Diceros bicornis minor: one gene and its partner. The main gene of each other region encodes a partner of the protein of the gene in region 2 in a complex. Links are inferred from orthologs where the notes say so. Each region holds a gene or a part of one and is shown on either strand. Other genes may lie near its edges.

The links. The genes of interacting proteins can lie anywhere in the genome.
Region 1: the proteins of LEPR (region 2) and LEP are in contact, whole or in part, in a crystal structure (PDB 7Z3R), measured with the Mus musculus proteins. The link is inferred for Diceros bicornis minor from reciprocal best matches to the Homo sapiens genes LEPR and LEP. Residues at the interface, in NP_666258.2 of Mus musculus: Tyr439, Leu440, Thr441, Arg466, Ser468, Leu469, Tyr470, Gln499, Pro500, Ile501, Phe502, Leu503, Leu504, Ser505, Val560, Phe561, Glu563, Asn564; in NP_032519.1 of Mus musculus: Lys26, Val27, Asp30, Thr33, Leu34, Lys36, Thr37, Thr40, Arg41, Gln92, Gln96, Asn99, Asp100, Glu102, Asn103, Asp106, Leu107, Leu110.

Annotation. Positions count from the first base shown.
Region 1 is NC_080742.1:77,266,855-77,274,700, forward strand, and holds LEP (leptin), read left to right. Parts: upstream 1-5,170; coding exon 5,171-5,314; intron 5,315-6,932; coding exon 6,933-7,292; downstream 7,293-7,846. UniProt on the Homo sapiens protein: Key player in the regulation of energy balance and body weight control. Once released into the circulation, has central and peripheral effects by binding LEPR, found in many tissues, which results in the activation of several major signaling pathways.
Region 2 is NC_080743.1:4,667,604-4,675,494, reverse strand, and holds the start of LEPR (leptin receptor), read right to left. Parts: upstream 3,263-7,891; 5' UTR 3,213-3,262; intron 1-3,212. UniProt on the Homo sapiens protein: Receptor for hormone LEP/leptin. On ligand binding, mediates LEP central and peripheral effects through the activation of different signaling pathways such as JAK2/STAT3 and MAPK cascade/FOS.

The sequences.
Region 1 (7,846 bases), on a different chromosome or scaffold from region 2:
TCCATCGGCCCCCCGCCCTCCCCCAGTGGTACCTGTCTCCCTCTCCAAGCTCCGCTTGAACGAGGGTCAGAGGAAAATGAAAGCGATAGGATGTCGTATCAACATTCCAGTGGTTCAGCTTAGAAAATGACAGCTCCTAAATGTTTAAAACCTCTTTGGAAACTTCTAGAGAGAAAAGGCTTTTGCGGCCCAGGCAGGTGGCTGACAGCTGCCTTTCTCCCTCCCCATTCCTCCCTCTTCAGCTCTCTCCACTCACCCCTGCCGGCAGCTCCAACACTCCTGGGTCTACCTCTGCAGCCTTTTCTTCCTGAACTGAGACCCTTGATCCCAACTGTCAACTGGATGGGTCCACCTGAGGTCCCACTAGGACCAGCAAAGCAGCACGTTTCAAACCCTCATTCCCAGACATCTCCAAGTGCTTTTCCCAATTTTCATCACCATTCTTCTTGTCACCTGGGCTGAAATCGTTTGCCTGGAAGCAGTCAGAGCTCCTCACTTCCGCAGAAAGAAGCCTAGCCTCTCTACCTGGCCCTCACAGCCCAATGCCTCCCCACCTCCTCGCCCATCACACCTCCCATGCCAGCTGTGTGCCGCCGTCTCTGGAGCCCACTGTCCTCTTCACTGACTACCGGGACTGCCTGTCTCCTCCACCTTCACAAACCCAATTTCTCCCCATTCCCCAGGCCCTTATCAAATGCCACCTCCTCCAAGATGCCTCCTTGATTCCTTAGCTGGAAATAACAATGATAACAGCTAACATGCATTGGTGATGGCCACGTGCCAGGCACAGAGCTAGCACTTCACATGCATTATCTCATTTCATCCGCTTAACAGCTGTGGGTGGAAATTATGATTTGTATCATCCCTGTTTTACAGCTAAGAAAACTGAGTCTCAGAGAGGTTAGCAAACTTTCCAAAGTCCTATACTCCACCTCAAACATAGCTCTGCTAAACTCTAGAACTCATGATTTTATGCACGACTCTCTCCCCTGAGTTACCCAAGACATTTTATCTGTTTTTTTTAACTGAATTGTTTGCCTTTTTTTATTATTGAATTGTAGCAGTTTTTTTTTTAAACTTTATTTATTTATTTTCCCCCCAAAGCCCCAGTAGATAGTTGTATGTCATAGTTCCACATCCTTCTAGTTGCTGTATGTGGGACGCAGCCTCAGCATGGCCGGAGAAGCGGTGCGTCAGTGCGCGCCCGGGATCCGAACCCGGGCCGCCAGCAGTGGAGCGCACGCACTTAACCGCTAAGCCACAGGGCCGGCCCCTATTTTATCTGTTTAAATGCTCTTCCTTGCATTGTAGTTAACTAGGTAAGTTCTTAAATCAGTTGTTTAAGAGCACGGTTTTGTTCTTTACTCTTATTTTCAACAAATAATATATATAAGTAGCTGACAACGTCAAATACTGTGGTATTCTATCTGGGCTTCCTGGGAAAGCCACCAGTCTTCAGCCCAGCCCTCCTCACTCCTGATTTCCAATTTCCTGTGGTTCCATGTCTCTTTCATCTCTGTACTTGGCCCACAGTGGGCGATCAATACATGTTAGCTGTTAGCCATCAAATACGTAGTAACTGTCATGTGCCAGGTGCTGCTCAATGAAGTTGTAGTTGCTGTCTTGAATTATCCCTCCTCCCTGGTCCCTAAACCCTGGCTCTTACCAGTCATCCCGCCCACCTTCTCCAGCCATGCCCAGGCCACGTCAGGTACTGACACTCAGGTGAACCAAGGAAGACTTGATGATCACTCTTTTCTGATGCCCGTGTCCGGCTGTATAAATTGGTTAGCATTAAGTTTGCCTGCATTTAGCAGAGACCCAAAATAACAGTGGCTTAGTCAAGACGGAGGTTATGTCTCTCACACACACAGCACAAGTCCAGAGATAGGCAGTCCAGACCAGTATGGCATCTCGGCTCCACGAAGTCCTCTGGGACCTGGGCTCCTCCAGCTCCTTACTCTTCCATTCATAAGGTGAGGCCCACATCCTCATGATCCAAGATGGCGCCAGAATGCTGGCTACCGCAGGCATCAGGATGGAGGAAGGGATGAAAAAGGAAGAGGCAAAGTCATCCAACATGAGAGCTGCCGCATGGCACTTCTGCTTTTATTTAATTGGCTAGAATTTAGTCACGTGGCCATACCTAGTTGGGAGAAACTGGGAAATATAGTATTTATTCTGGAGGCCACATCCCTATCTGAACTTGGATGTTCTATTACTTGGGAAGAATACATATTGGGGACAACTAGCAGGCAGCCTCTACTGAAAGGGTTAGGTGTGTTGGTGTGTGTGTGTATGTGCATGTATGATGTGGGTGTTGTGTGAGCATGTGTGTTATGTGTTGTGTGTGTTGGTGGGCCAGGTTGTCTCCATCACTTTTGTCTCAGATGGACCTGTTACACGTTCTCTCGGCAGTCTCCCATGGGGCTCCCCTAAACCTGGCCTCTCCTCTTAGGCAGACAGCAGCAGCTTCTCAATCCCGTGTTTCAAGGAACTGCAATTCATTTTCAGCATCCACTGAAGCATATTATCAGTGGTGATAGAGGGGGCTTATAAAACTGTTTTTCCATTTAGGTATTACAGGGTGGCCATTATGTGAGAGTGACTATGACCAGAGTTAACCTGGTAATAAATTCTCTTAGGAAGGAGGGTGTCATTAACTCATGAATCCTAGAAAAGGATATTGCTCAAGCTTTTGCTGCAGGAGGAAGGCCCAGAAATACCAGGCACCCTGTTGAGATGGTCCAGGAGAGGCAAAAGGCCAAATGCTAGATTCAGGGTTGGCTACAGGTAGTGTTGCCTGAGTGTTTCAAGCCCTGCCCAGTAATTACACAACTAAAAAAAATCTGACATTACCTCCACACTTTGGCCCACACACTCAATGGGCAGGGGCTCTACTGGTTCATCTCGTTTACTTTTTAGAGCCGGGTGGTGTTATGAGTTCCATTTTACTGATGGGAACAGATGCTTTAGGGAAGTTAAGTGTCTTGCCCAGAGACACAGCTAATGAGGGCAGAGCCCGCTGCTGAAGCCTTGGGGCCTAACCACTATGCTTTCCACCTTTGCTAGGGTTTCATGGAATCCTACTAGGGAGTTAGCACTATTTAACTGCATTCCACAAACACATGGTGGAAATGTTCACTCAGGTAATGAGTAGTTAATAGAGGGAGTTTTAACTTTTAAGAGAAAAAACAAGCACAAAAACATCTGAAGTGCCCCCTCCCAAACTCCTTAGTATTTTTCATATTTGAAGTTGATATGGGGGTGCCATCTCATAGCTTCCTCCTAGAGCAGGTATTAGTTCCCAAGTGCCATGGTCCCAAGACGTACCCTCAGTCGGGCATTGGAGTGGTTTGTAACTCGGGCTTTGCCTTAAAGGCCAGAGAAACTGGGGGGAGGGGGGCAAGTAGGAAGCAACCTAGCCCTTCTGAATCCCAGGATTCACCCCTGGGATGTCTGGGTGTGAATCCGGCTCTACCACTCACCCGTTTGACTTCGGGCAATTAACACATCTTCTTGAGTCTCATTTTTCCCTTTCTATAAAATTCAGATAAAAATCATACCTTTGATCAAGCATTATAAATAATATATAAGCAGACTGCTTATTTCTATTATATTGCCATTATATGGATTATACTACTATTGCCACCTATGGACAGAAAATGTATTACCTATTTTTATCAAGACCTAGATCAGGTAAAACACAAAAAGCAGAGATTAGCTTTTTGCCATCTCCAGAACCTTCATGCCAATATTTACTTACATTTGATTATTGCTTCAGGCCCATCCACACATACTTAGCGTGGATCATTGGCCACAGACTCGTGTACGTTTAACTGTATTACTTTTTGCCTCATGAATCTCATTAAAAATTTGCTGCTTAATCAAGGATCTGCGTATTATTAATGTTAGAATTCATGGTTCCATGACTTTGGAAGTTTCAAATATTCTGAGTGACATGTTATACATTCTCTCCTGCCTCCATGCCTTTGCACCAGCTGCTTTCTTGGCCGTCATGGCAACCACTTTCTACTCTTACTAACTCCTACTCGGTATTTAATTTTTTTTTTTTTAATTTAATTAATTTATTTTTTCCCCCAAAGCCCCACTACATAGTTGTATGTCATAGCTGCACATCCTTCTAGTTGCTGCATGTGGGGCGCGGCCTCAGCATGGCCGGAGAAGCGGTGCATCGGTGCGCGCCCGGGATCGAACCTGGGCCACCAGCAGCAGATCACGCGCACTTAACCTCTAAGCCACGGAGCCGGCCCTACTCGGTATTTAATACCCTGCTCAGGCGACACCTCTTCCAGGGAGCCCCCTTTGTACACCCGTGATATCCTGTACTTGTCTTTCTTGCAAAGCTCTTTCTTCCTGTATTGGAATGGCCTGTTTACCTGTTTCTCTCTCCTATTAAATTGTAAGCAACTTAAGAACATCTGTTGTTCACTATTATGTCCTTGGTGCCTAGCACTGCATCTGACATATTATCAGATCTCCCATAAGTACTGGTTGGCTTCACACTCCCGGTGAGAGAGAAAGGAAGTAATAAAGGCAATGATAAATGCCATCATGGAGATATCAGCAGGCTGCTGTGGGAGAGTAATGGAGAGGACAAGTAACATAATCTCTAACAAGAGGGTGGTGATAGAGTATGTCTCACAACACCTCTCAAGCTCTTTCACGTGCATTATCTAATTTGATCCTCGTAGAAGCCTGGAGATAGGTATGTTGCAGGGGTGGAAGGTAGAGTTTTTAGCAGCTATGTGATATGCCTAAAGTCATGCAGCTAGTAAAGGGCTGGATTCAAACCAGACCTTAAAAGCCCATTCTCCTCCTTAAAGCACACAGTGCGTCACTTCATCATCACAATGTCCCTTTGCTCACACCCTGGCTTATTGCTTTGTGGTCTACAGCACACCTCATCGTGGTTTTATTGATCAAGCCTTGCATCTCCCCAAGAGAATGCATTTCATTAATGTATTTCTAGATAATGAATTGTCTTTGACTCTGAGGAGATGATAGCCAGGGCAGAAAGAAATCTCATTTTTATCCACATCTGGTAATGTGGTTGGTCATGGCATAGGGGTGTTTTCTGAGATATCAGCAATTTTCAATGTATAGTTCCTTCTGTTTTCAGGACCAAGAAGCACATTCTGGAAGGAAAATGCATTGTGGACCGCTGTACCAATTCCTGTGGCTTTGGCCCTATCTGTTCTACATTGAAGCTGTGCCCATCCAAAAAGTCCAGGATGACACCAAAACCCTCATCAAGACGATTGTCACCAGGATCAATGACATTTCACACACGGTAGGGAGGGTCTGGGGAGATGAAGTAGAACTGTGGCTGGCCCACGGGGACACCAGGACCTCAGAGGTTAGCTGAGGCCTGTGCAGCAACATGTAGGGGCCATGGTGGCCTTGACTTCTCCCTACTGCATGAGCAGCTGCCTCTTTTCTTCCTCTCCCCTCTGTCTCCCGCCACCTCCTTACTCTCCTTCCTCCCCGACCTGAATCCCAGGATTCACTTCCTTGAATCCTAGTGCCTAGAACCAGAGGATACATAAAAGTCCTTGTGTTCCATTGGTAGGTGACCAGACCCCCAGCAGCATCCTCTCTGGGCCTATCCCATCTCTAGAACGTGCTTATCAGTAGGCGGTCTTCCTGGTTGAGCTGAACTCTGGCCCTGTGCCGCTTCCCCGATTACTGCTAGTCCTGCCTGTCAGGCCACACAGAAAAGCAAGTCTACCCTCTTTCACATACAACCTTCTGTGTATCTGCAAACAGCTGTCAATGCCCCCTGGGTCTTTGCTCTGGGGCTGACAGATCTAGACCTTCAGCCGTTTCCCAGGTGAGTTCTGTATTTGGAATTAGGGAGACTAAGTGTGAATCTTCACACTTCTGTTCTCTGTCTGTAAAACCTTAAGCTGGATCCTCAATGTCTTTAAGCCCTGGTTTCATCATCAAGATATTGAGACTATCGTAAGGTCCTCACAAGGTTGCTATGAGATTAAATTAGATAAAGCAAGTGAAAACACCTCCCACCACCCCCGCCCCACCCTGCAGAATCAGAAGAGAGTGTGCCCTCATTAAAGGTTTGCAGTTGTGTTTTTTGGTAGCCCCCAGCCTTAAAAGCCTGCTTGTTCACCCTGCATGGAGCAATCTGGAGACTTCCACATCTCCTGGCTACTGTGGATGACTCACAGTGGCCTTGTGCAGCCAGGAAGAAGTTAGGTGGCCAGAAGCAGGGACAGCTCAGAGCTAGATAGTCTTGGGAATTTCATACAGAGAAACCCTTAAGTCTCCTTGCTTTAAAAATAGTCATCCGAAAGGCTGCACGTGATAGATCCAGAGCATCCCAACCTGTGTGGTGCAGGGAGTGAGTGCTGCGGGCAGGGGGGAAGGGGAGTTACCCTCCTGGTAACCAGAGTTACTGGAGCAGAGGAGTGAGGTGGGGCACTTGCTGGGGGGACAGCCTTGACCCCTAAGGGGGTGAGACTCCATGGAGATCCTGATTGGGAGGGAGGAGTCCGCAGGGGGTGGAAGGGAACGAGGATGGCTGGGGAGGGGGCGCTATAGAGGACTTCAGATGCCTGAGGTAGAGACTAAACTAAGTAAGAAATAGGGAGCTCTGGCTGGTTCTATAGCAGAGGCCATTTGGAGAAGGAAACGACCTGAGAAGTTTGGTCTGGAGGTGGGAGGCAGGGTGGTTTGGGAAAGACGGGAAGACAGAAGGCCAGGAGGCCAGCTTGGAGGCTTGGCAGCCACCTGGGCATAAGAAGTAAGGCCTAGGCCAGGATGGTGCCAAAGAGGGAAAGGAGGCAACCAAGAAAGTGAGCCTCCGTGCTCGTGGGAAATACTGAGGGCTTTGCAGAATTCACTCTCTCCCGCCTCGCTAAGCTCTTGCTCTCCCTCTTCCTCCTGCACAGCAGTCAGTCTCCTCCAAACAGAGGGTCACTGGTTTGGACTTCATTCCTGGGCTTCACCCTGTCCTAAGTTTGTCCAAGATGGACCAGACATTGGCGATCTACCAACAGATCCTTACGAGTCTGCCTTCCAGAAATGTGATCCAAATATCTAATGACCTGGAGAACCTCCGGGACCTTCTCCACCTGCTGGCCTCCTCCAAGAGCTGCCCCTTGCCTCAGGCTAGGGGCCTGGAGACGTTGGTGAGCCTGGGCGGTGTCCTGGAAGCCTCCCTCTACTCCACAGAGGTGGTGGCCCTGAGCAGGCTGCAGGGGTCTCTGCAGGACATGCTGCAGCAGCTGGACCTCACCCCTGGGTGCTGATGTCCTGAAGGCCTCTCTTCCCCCAAGGACCAAAGTCAAAGGAAGAAACCTGGGCTCCCAGGTGTCTCCAAGAGAAGAGAGCCCGTGTGGACATCCTTCATCCAGGACTCCAGTCTGTTTCTCTGTCACTCCTCTAAGCCGCCCTTCCAAAGGCATAAGACTTCAAGGCAAGTTGCTTGAAACCAAAGATATAAATACCTGATTCCATGCTCACCCATCCAGCAAACAGTGGACTGGATCTGGGATTCTCACCAGTCTTCCTCTCTGTTCTACCTCCCCTCTCACTGCATGCTTCAGTGTGACCTGGGATGATCTCAGGAGGTGGGCTGCAGAGCCTTTGGACGATCAAGCAAGGTTCCGTCTGAGAACTCTGGGGAGCACCATGAAGGCTACATCCACGCTTAGCTGGAAACTCTCAAGCAACACAAGTTGGAAACATTTATTTATTATGCATTTTATTCTGGATGGATTTGAAGCCAAACGTTACCTTTTCCAGGCTCTTTGGGGTTGGCCAGGGCTAGGGATGCTCCTGGGGTGCTGTTACCAGTCCCATC
Region 2 (7,891 bases):
AGAGCACAGAGGATTTCCTGACACATTACATCTGAGGCATGAGGGAATGGGAGAAATCAAAGACGACTCCAAGGTTTGGGCCTGAGCAACTTGAAGGATGGAGATGGGGAAAACTACAGATAGAGCAGGCTTGGGCAAGATGAAGCTTCCATTTGGAGCACGTTAAGCTGAAGATGTCTACAAGACATCCAAATGGAAATGCTGAGTAGGCAGGTGGATATAGAGGTCTGAAGTTCAGGGAGAGAAGTCAAGGCTTAAGCTATCATTTTGGAGTTATCAGTATACAAATACAGAGATTGCATGAAATCATCAAAGAGTGTAGAGAGAAGAGAGCTCCCAGGGACTAAAGCTTAAGGCATTCTATGGTTAAAACCTCTAAGAGAAGAGAGACCAGCAAAGGAGACAGACAGGAGCGGCCAGTGAAGGAGGAAAATCAAGAGTGGTGTCCTGGGAGTCAATGAGGAAATATTACCAAGAACACAGAGCGATAACTGTGACAATGCCACCAATAGGTGAAGTAAGATCAACACTGACAACGGACTATTGGATTTAGGAAAGGGGATGTCACTGGTGACCACAACAGGAACGGCTTTGGCAGAGAACTGAAAACAAAAGATTGATAGGAATGGGTTTGAGAGAGAATGTAAAGAGCTGAACTGATGATAGGGAATACAGACAACTCTTTTCAAAAGTTTTTGCTTTAAAAGGGAGCAAAGAAATGGCTTAATCTCACAAACATAATGTTAAGCAAAAGAATCTATGAAAGAATGCCTCCTATATTCATATAAGATTTTTTTTAAGGTAAAACTAAACATGAACAGGAAGAAACAAGCAAGAGGTTTCTGGGTATTGGCATGCTGTCTTACCTGTGTGGTGAATAATGGGGTATTTGCCTTATAATTATCTGTTACAACAATTTGCTATGTTATTTGTCAACAAGTACATTTGTTTTATGTACCTCTTACCCCTGTATATGTCATAGTACAAAGTGTTAAAAAAAATTAAAGATTAATATGATCATGCGTGTGAAAAAATAGATAATATCATCACTGAATCACAGAAGTTTTAAAAAGTATTTGAGAAGGAATATTCCAAGTTATAAGCAAACCAAACTTAAATTGAAACTCCAAAAGGTTATATGTACTAGGTCTGGCCAGTAGGGGAACCTTGGTGCCTTTCTGATTTAATTAAAAGCGGAATTTGTAAATCGCATAAAATCTTAAGAATTAGAGCAGATTGTAAGCCCTTTTCTTCATTTTTAACTCCACAGGATATATTTTTTTAGTGTGTGTGCGTGGCTCTCAGTATGAAAAATGCACTACAGTGTCTGCCAAGACAATTCTTTTTTTCCTGGATATTTTTAAGTTTTATTTCCAAGACCCCCCCACCCTGAGATATTGCACTTCACAAACACAAACCATTTGGTTATATAACAGTGACCTAAGTATGAAGACATGACTGTTTCTTCTCAGTAAATTCATTACAAAAGCTTCTGCCAACCCTGATGACGCTCCCACACCATGAATGAGTTGGCTGTGGACCGTGAGTGGTCAGATCCATCCACTATTTTCGGTTGTTTTCCAGCGAGCACCTAGAAGCCAGGGCATTGAAGTTCCACTACTCTCTGTTCATTCAGCACCCAATTTACTTAACTCTCGGCATCTGTTTCAAAGGGGATGATCGTCTACTTCACCAGAGAATACGAGGCAAGACAAATTCCAGCCCAAAGGAAAAGGCAATGAAAATTAGTTTAAATATGTTCATTAAAAGTACTTCAAATCCATTCCACTCTCCCAAACTGCGTACACAGCACACACTGGGTGGAAACACCTTATTTTATTTTAGATCAAAGCCACCAAAATGAGCCAGAGATGCTTCTAAACCTCTCCAAACTACTGATGACTAGGTCTCAAATAATTTTGAATTACTAGTAACAACAAAAGCTATTCGAACATTTTGTCTGCTCAACAAGCCAACTGTTGTTTGTTGTCTGTTTTTGATCAAAAGGAAATAAAAGGTTCACTGACACTTTATAGTACACACTTCTTGTACAACTTCGTGTGTGTGTCAATTCCTAATTTCTGGTTTATCTGTTTAGTTAACCTCTGCTATTTTCTGGGATTCATTCCAAGAACTGAAATGCATTACTAAAATTGGCATCTCTGCCATCGAGCTTAATTTCGGAGAGGCTCTGAAGTGGTCTGAAACCATTTTTTTAATATTCTGCACACAACTTTATGCTAAAAAGTAAGACACTGTTCAAAAGCAGTACTTGACAGGAAAGGTGCAATTTTTGTTTTCCTCCAGAACAATTTGTATTTCCTCCAAATGTACAATACTGAAAGAGAATAAGTATTATGCTAAAGACACGTTTTTGTTGCAGTGATGCAAATACTGGCTTCAAGTTGAACATGATTCTTTAAGGTAGAGTGATCTAAATATTTACATGGAAACTATATATTTCTGAAATCTTTTATGAGTGTTTTTAACTTTGGGTTGGAAAACCCTAAAAGCATAAGTCATAAACACATGTAAACAAAATGCCAAGATCTATATAGATTTTTTTCAATTTCATGAAATTATGAATCTAGCAATGTTTTAACATGTTAAAGAGTTAAAGAATTATAAATTTTTAAGTTGGGAAACATCTCGGATCTATTAAAAGGCCCTCAGAATCTTAATCCAACCCTCTAATTTGACAGATGAGGAAACAGGAGGCCCAGAGAGGTTAAGTTAATACAGCTGTTGTGGATAATAAAGGGCAAATCATACCAAAACCCAGACATTCACCTCCAAGTCCAGGGCTCTGAAAGAGTATTTGTTTCATAATACTTATGGAAATAAAGGTTAACGGAGGACACTCCAGGCAACCCCTCAATATAAGGAACTCCCTCAGGCTTCCAGGAGCCAGACTCATCTTCTATTTGCAAACACACATCCTAGCAATAGCACCAGCAATGATCAGTTTCTCAGACGGCCTCCTCATACCCGGGGTATCCAAAGTGCCTCCTCAGTTGGGTCTCTTTTTCTCACCTCTACAAACCCCTTTCAATGAGCGCTTTGGAGGAGACTGGGTTTTGTTCCGTTTTTTAAATTTGCTTGGGGAGAGCAGGGGAGGGTGGAAAACAGAGGCTCAGCTCTAAACCTACAGCACAAGTTTTTTCGTCTGTCATCCAAACCAACAAATCCTTCCTCCGGGCCCCAGGGCTTACTGGTTTATGTCGCCGTCCCTGTAGTTTCCAAAGTAGGAAGGAGACCTGGAAAAGAAGTTGCCCGGGTGGCACGTCCTTTCGGTGGCGCTCAGCAGGTGCGCGCCCAGGCTCGGCGGGCTGCCCTCAGCCGCGCGCCCCGACCCTCCTGCCCCGGGAGCCTCCCGATCCCCGGCCGCCCGCCGGGCTCTGGCCCCTCTGGTGGCGCCGCCGGGCGGGCTCCGGACTCCCGGTCCCCAAGTGGCCCGCGGGCTCCGCGCGGCTCCGCGCGCCCCAGCGCCCGCTCCCCGAGCCGCCGGGAGCGGGACGAGGAGGCGGGAGCGGGAGGAGAGAGAAGGGGCCCACCTGGATGCCGGTCCCACGCGGGCGGAAGGCAGAGATGGCGGCGGCACGCGGCTCGGGCACCTGCGTCGCTCGCGCTCGGGCGGCCGTGGCTCTGCGGTGCGGCGGCTCCAAACTCCTCGCCAAGGTGCCGGGCAACTCTCCGGAGAGAGGAGGGCAGCGGAGGGCGGGAGGCGGGGCGGGGGGGCGCGGGGAGAAGGAGGGGAGAGGGAGGGAAGAGCCGGGGCCGCCCGCGCGCCCCGCGCCCGCCGCCACCGCCCCGGGGCGGGAGGAGCGGACCCCGAGCGGCGGGGGCGGTCGCGCAGGTGACCGGGGGCGGCGGCGGGCAGTGCCTGGGGAGGAGAAGCGGGGCGCTCGGGAAGGGGACCCTGCCCGCCCGGAGGCCGAGAGCCGAGGCGAACCCAGCGGGGAGGCGGCGCCGCTACTGCACCCGGCGGTCAGCTGCAGCGCGCCCACCTGAGCCCGTGGTTCCCAGGCTCTGGGCCAGGCACTGGGCTTCCCTCTGATCCTCCCACTTCCAGACCTCCAGGTCTCTGCTGCATCCGGTGTGCACAATGCTACGATAAAGATTGCTATAATTGGGAGGAGGGGGAAAGGAAAGCGAAATGGAAAAGACCAGAAGTAGCGAGGTAGTGAGTTTCCTGTCAAGGATGTTTCAGCCAAGCATTTTGGTCGTGCTTGTCAGAAAGGCTGAAGAGGGCCCTCATGCATCTAGTGGGGGTTGGACTAAATGGCCACTTCTCTTTCAATCTTGAAATTCAATGGCTTTTGACATAGCAAGGAAAAAAAAATGAAAATTAAGAAATCCATCCTTGAACAGTCTGATTCCAATCCCAGTAATAGACATTTTCTTGCTCTCCACTAGAAATGTTCACTCATTGATTTGCTTCTTTATTAATACATTTTTAATGAGGACCTACTGTGTGCCAGACAATATGCTAGGTGGGGTTGTCATGTGCCTTGAGCTTGAAGTTATGACAGACAGACATGCAAGTATTCATATAATTACCACTCAGGATGGGTGATTTAAAGGAAACCAACAGGATGAGGAAGAAAGAATAAAGGGGAGTGGACATTCTCTAGATAGAGTGGATGGTTAATTTTCAAAGGTCTCTATAAGTGAACTCACCTAACACCCTCATAGGAAGAGACATCAAAGGCATAGAGAAAAAGCAGTCCAGAGATGGGCAGGGACGGAAGCCGTGCCTCCTGGCTCCCTGGACCAGCCACCTTGCCATCTTGTGAAGCTTTGTAAATGGAACCTTTCCCCCACAGGAATATCCTCCCAGGACCAGTGTCAATTTTCTGAAGAGCGTTTAGATCTCCAGACCACTTATCAAGGCCACTTTATTCAGAAATTTCATATTTGTGCACTGAATGGACTTTCTGGGGCATCTGTGTAGGCAAAAATAACCCAGAAGCACTAACCTTTGGGTTTTCATCAAACCTCAAAAAACAGCCAAATGTCTCCATTGGATCAAGATAAGAGTTGGAGCAGAGATACTGACTTCCCCAAATTATTATGAAATAAAACAACACAACAGAATCCTTAATTAGATAATCAGTATGAACTAACACATTAGTTTCCTAGGGCTGCCTTGAAAAATGACTACAGACTTCATGCTTAAAACAGCAGAAATTTATTCTCTCCCTGTTCTGGAGGCCAGAAATCCAAAATCAATGTGCATCAGGTCCACACTCCCTCCCAGAGCTCTAGGAGAGAATCCTTCCTTGCCTCGTCCAGCTTCTGGTGGCGTCAGAAATTCATTGCCTTGCCGCTGCATTACTCCAGTCTCTGCCTTCCGTCTTCACACGGCCTTCTCCTTTGTGTCTGTTGTCTTCTCTTCTGTCTACCGTAAGGACATTTGTCATTGGATTTAGGGACCATCCAGATAATCCAGGATGATCTCAGCTCAGATCCTTATTTAATTACATCTGCAAAGACCCTTTATCCAAATGAGGTCACATTCACAGGTTCTGGGGTTTAGGATGTGGACCTATTTTGGGGGGGAACCACCATTCAACCCACTAAAGCTAGTAAACTAATAGGGACAAAAGTCATTGTCTACTGTGGTATCAGGGTGTCATTCCAACACCATTATTCAAAATTATATTGATACTAAGTATAACTAATTATTTTGTTGTAAACTACTAAAAATAAGTATCATTAAACCTGGGCATTCTGAGGAAAAACTACCATAAGGAAAAGAAGTACAGAGGCCCAAGCCTTCAGTTCATGTTTGAGTCACAGGGGATACTTGAAGGCCAAGGGTGGCTCCTCAGAAGCTACTGTTGTTACATGAATGCAGAGGTACCCCCCACATCCATGTGTATGGATTTCTGATAATGTGATCCACTGCTAAGTGTCCGCCAGGCGCCGGGCTCTGAGTCAGGAGCTCTCAGCGGGCTTACATGCCAGGTCAGGGGGCACTTTTGAATCTCATTCCCTTTGGCACAGATATGCCTGCTGCATACCTGAAGCGTGATAAAGAGTTGTCAAATGAATAGGTGAGTAAAAGAAATCATTACCAATCAGGTAGGCAATTATTACCACACTGGAGAACATCTATAATAAGAAGATAGGATTTATTAGAGCAAAACAGATTAACACCCTGACTCATTCAGTATTTTCTCGAGTGAGAGAAAAATCCTTAAAAGGAAACCTTTGATTTAAAAAAGAAAATAATGAGATCACCTATCTTCTCTTTTTAAAAAAAAATCAATAATATGCCTATTTGCACAGATACAGATCCTGCTGGGAACAATCAATCATGACTGAAGTTATAGTTACTTAAAGTGAATAAAATATTTTGTCCAAGTATTTCACTTGATATTTCAAAAACATAAACATTATTCAACTATTAATGTCATAATATTGATACAACATTTTTTTTTAAGTTTTTCTTTTTTTCCCCCCCTGGGAAAGATTCACTCTAGCTAACATCTGTTGCCAATCTTCCCCTCCTTCATTTTCCTCCCCAAAGCCCCAGTACATAGCTGTATATTCTAGTTGTAAGTCCTAGTTCTTCTACATGAGGCACCGCCACAGCATGGCTACTGACAGAGTGGTGTGGTTCTGTGCCGGGAACTGGCCTGGGCAGCCGAAGCAGAGGGCGCTGAACTAACCACTGGGCCATCAGGGCTGGCTCTGATGCAACATTTCTTGAAACTCTTTACAAACAATGATATCAGTGACTCAACTCTCTTCTGGTTCACCTCTTCCCTCTTTGACTTTCTTTCTCACTCTTCCATTCTTTCAGTTTTAAACGATCAACCAATATGTTAATAACTACCAAACTGAATCTCATTCATCAACTTATTAGGGTCACGGGCCCATGCCTGAACCAGTCACAGTGGCCAATGAGTTGGAATATGATGACCATCCAGGTGTGAGTCACCTGTGCACTCCTGGAAAACAGGGAGCGGGAGGAAAGTTGACCTCACCCTAACCAAAGAATTTAGAGTGGGGGGAGAGTGGTACCCCAAAATAAAATGAAGGTGCTCTTACTGAAGGGGAAGTGGACAAAAAGCACAGATATCCACTACAATAGAACTCAAAAAGGTTTGTTGTTAACTGAATATAGTTTTAATTAAACTATTAAACTTCACCCTCTCTATGGTGTTCTAAATGTTTTCTAGAAAGTTGTTTTAAATGAAATGATAATTATAAATATTGATTACATGTTTAATTACTACAGAAATCTTAAAAATTTACAATTATGAAGGACTTTGAAAAATGCTTTTAGATGCGTCGGAGGCCATATAGTCAAGCTGTGGGCTCTGGAATCTGATTGTGTGAGCTTTTACGCACATTTATTATGAGACCTTGAATAAGTTCTTACCCTCTTTCTGTCTCAGTTTCCTTTTTTGTAAAATGGAGAAGATAATAATCACCTCTCTGAAATGTCATGAAACGTAAGGAGATAATAACTATGACTTTAGAATAGTACTTCTTACCTAGTACTCTACTATGTTTGCTCATTATTAATCTCACTCAGTCTTCACAGCATCCCTGGAAACCATTTCGGGTAGTTGTACTTTGATTATTTATTTTTCCATTAATAGATAATCAGTATCTATTATGTATCAGGTACCATTACCAAGATAAACAGCATGGGTCCACGAGGAGTCAAGTGAGGATTCCCATAGTTCAACCAGGTCAGTGTAGGCACCACATGCGGGGGAGCAGAGCATGGAAGGAAAGGACAGAGGAGAAAAGGCCCGAGACCTTAGGGGACTGCAAGAAGTGTAGCTAGAGCCCAGGGTATGTTCAGAAGAGTGTACCTGGAAAAGGACGTAGAAGTCTAATAGGAAGAACTCTGAAGGTCATGTGGATTTTG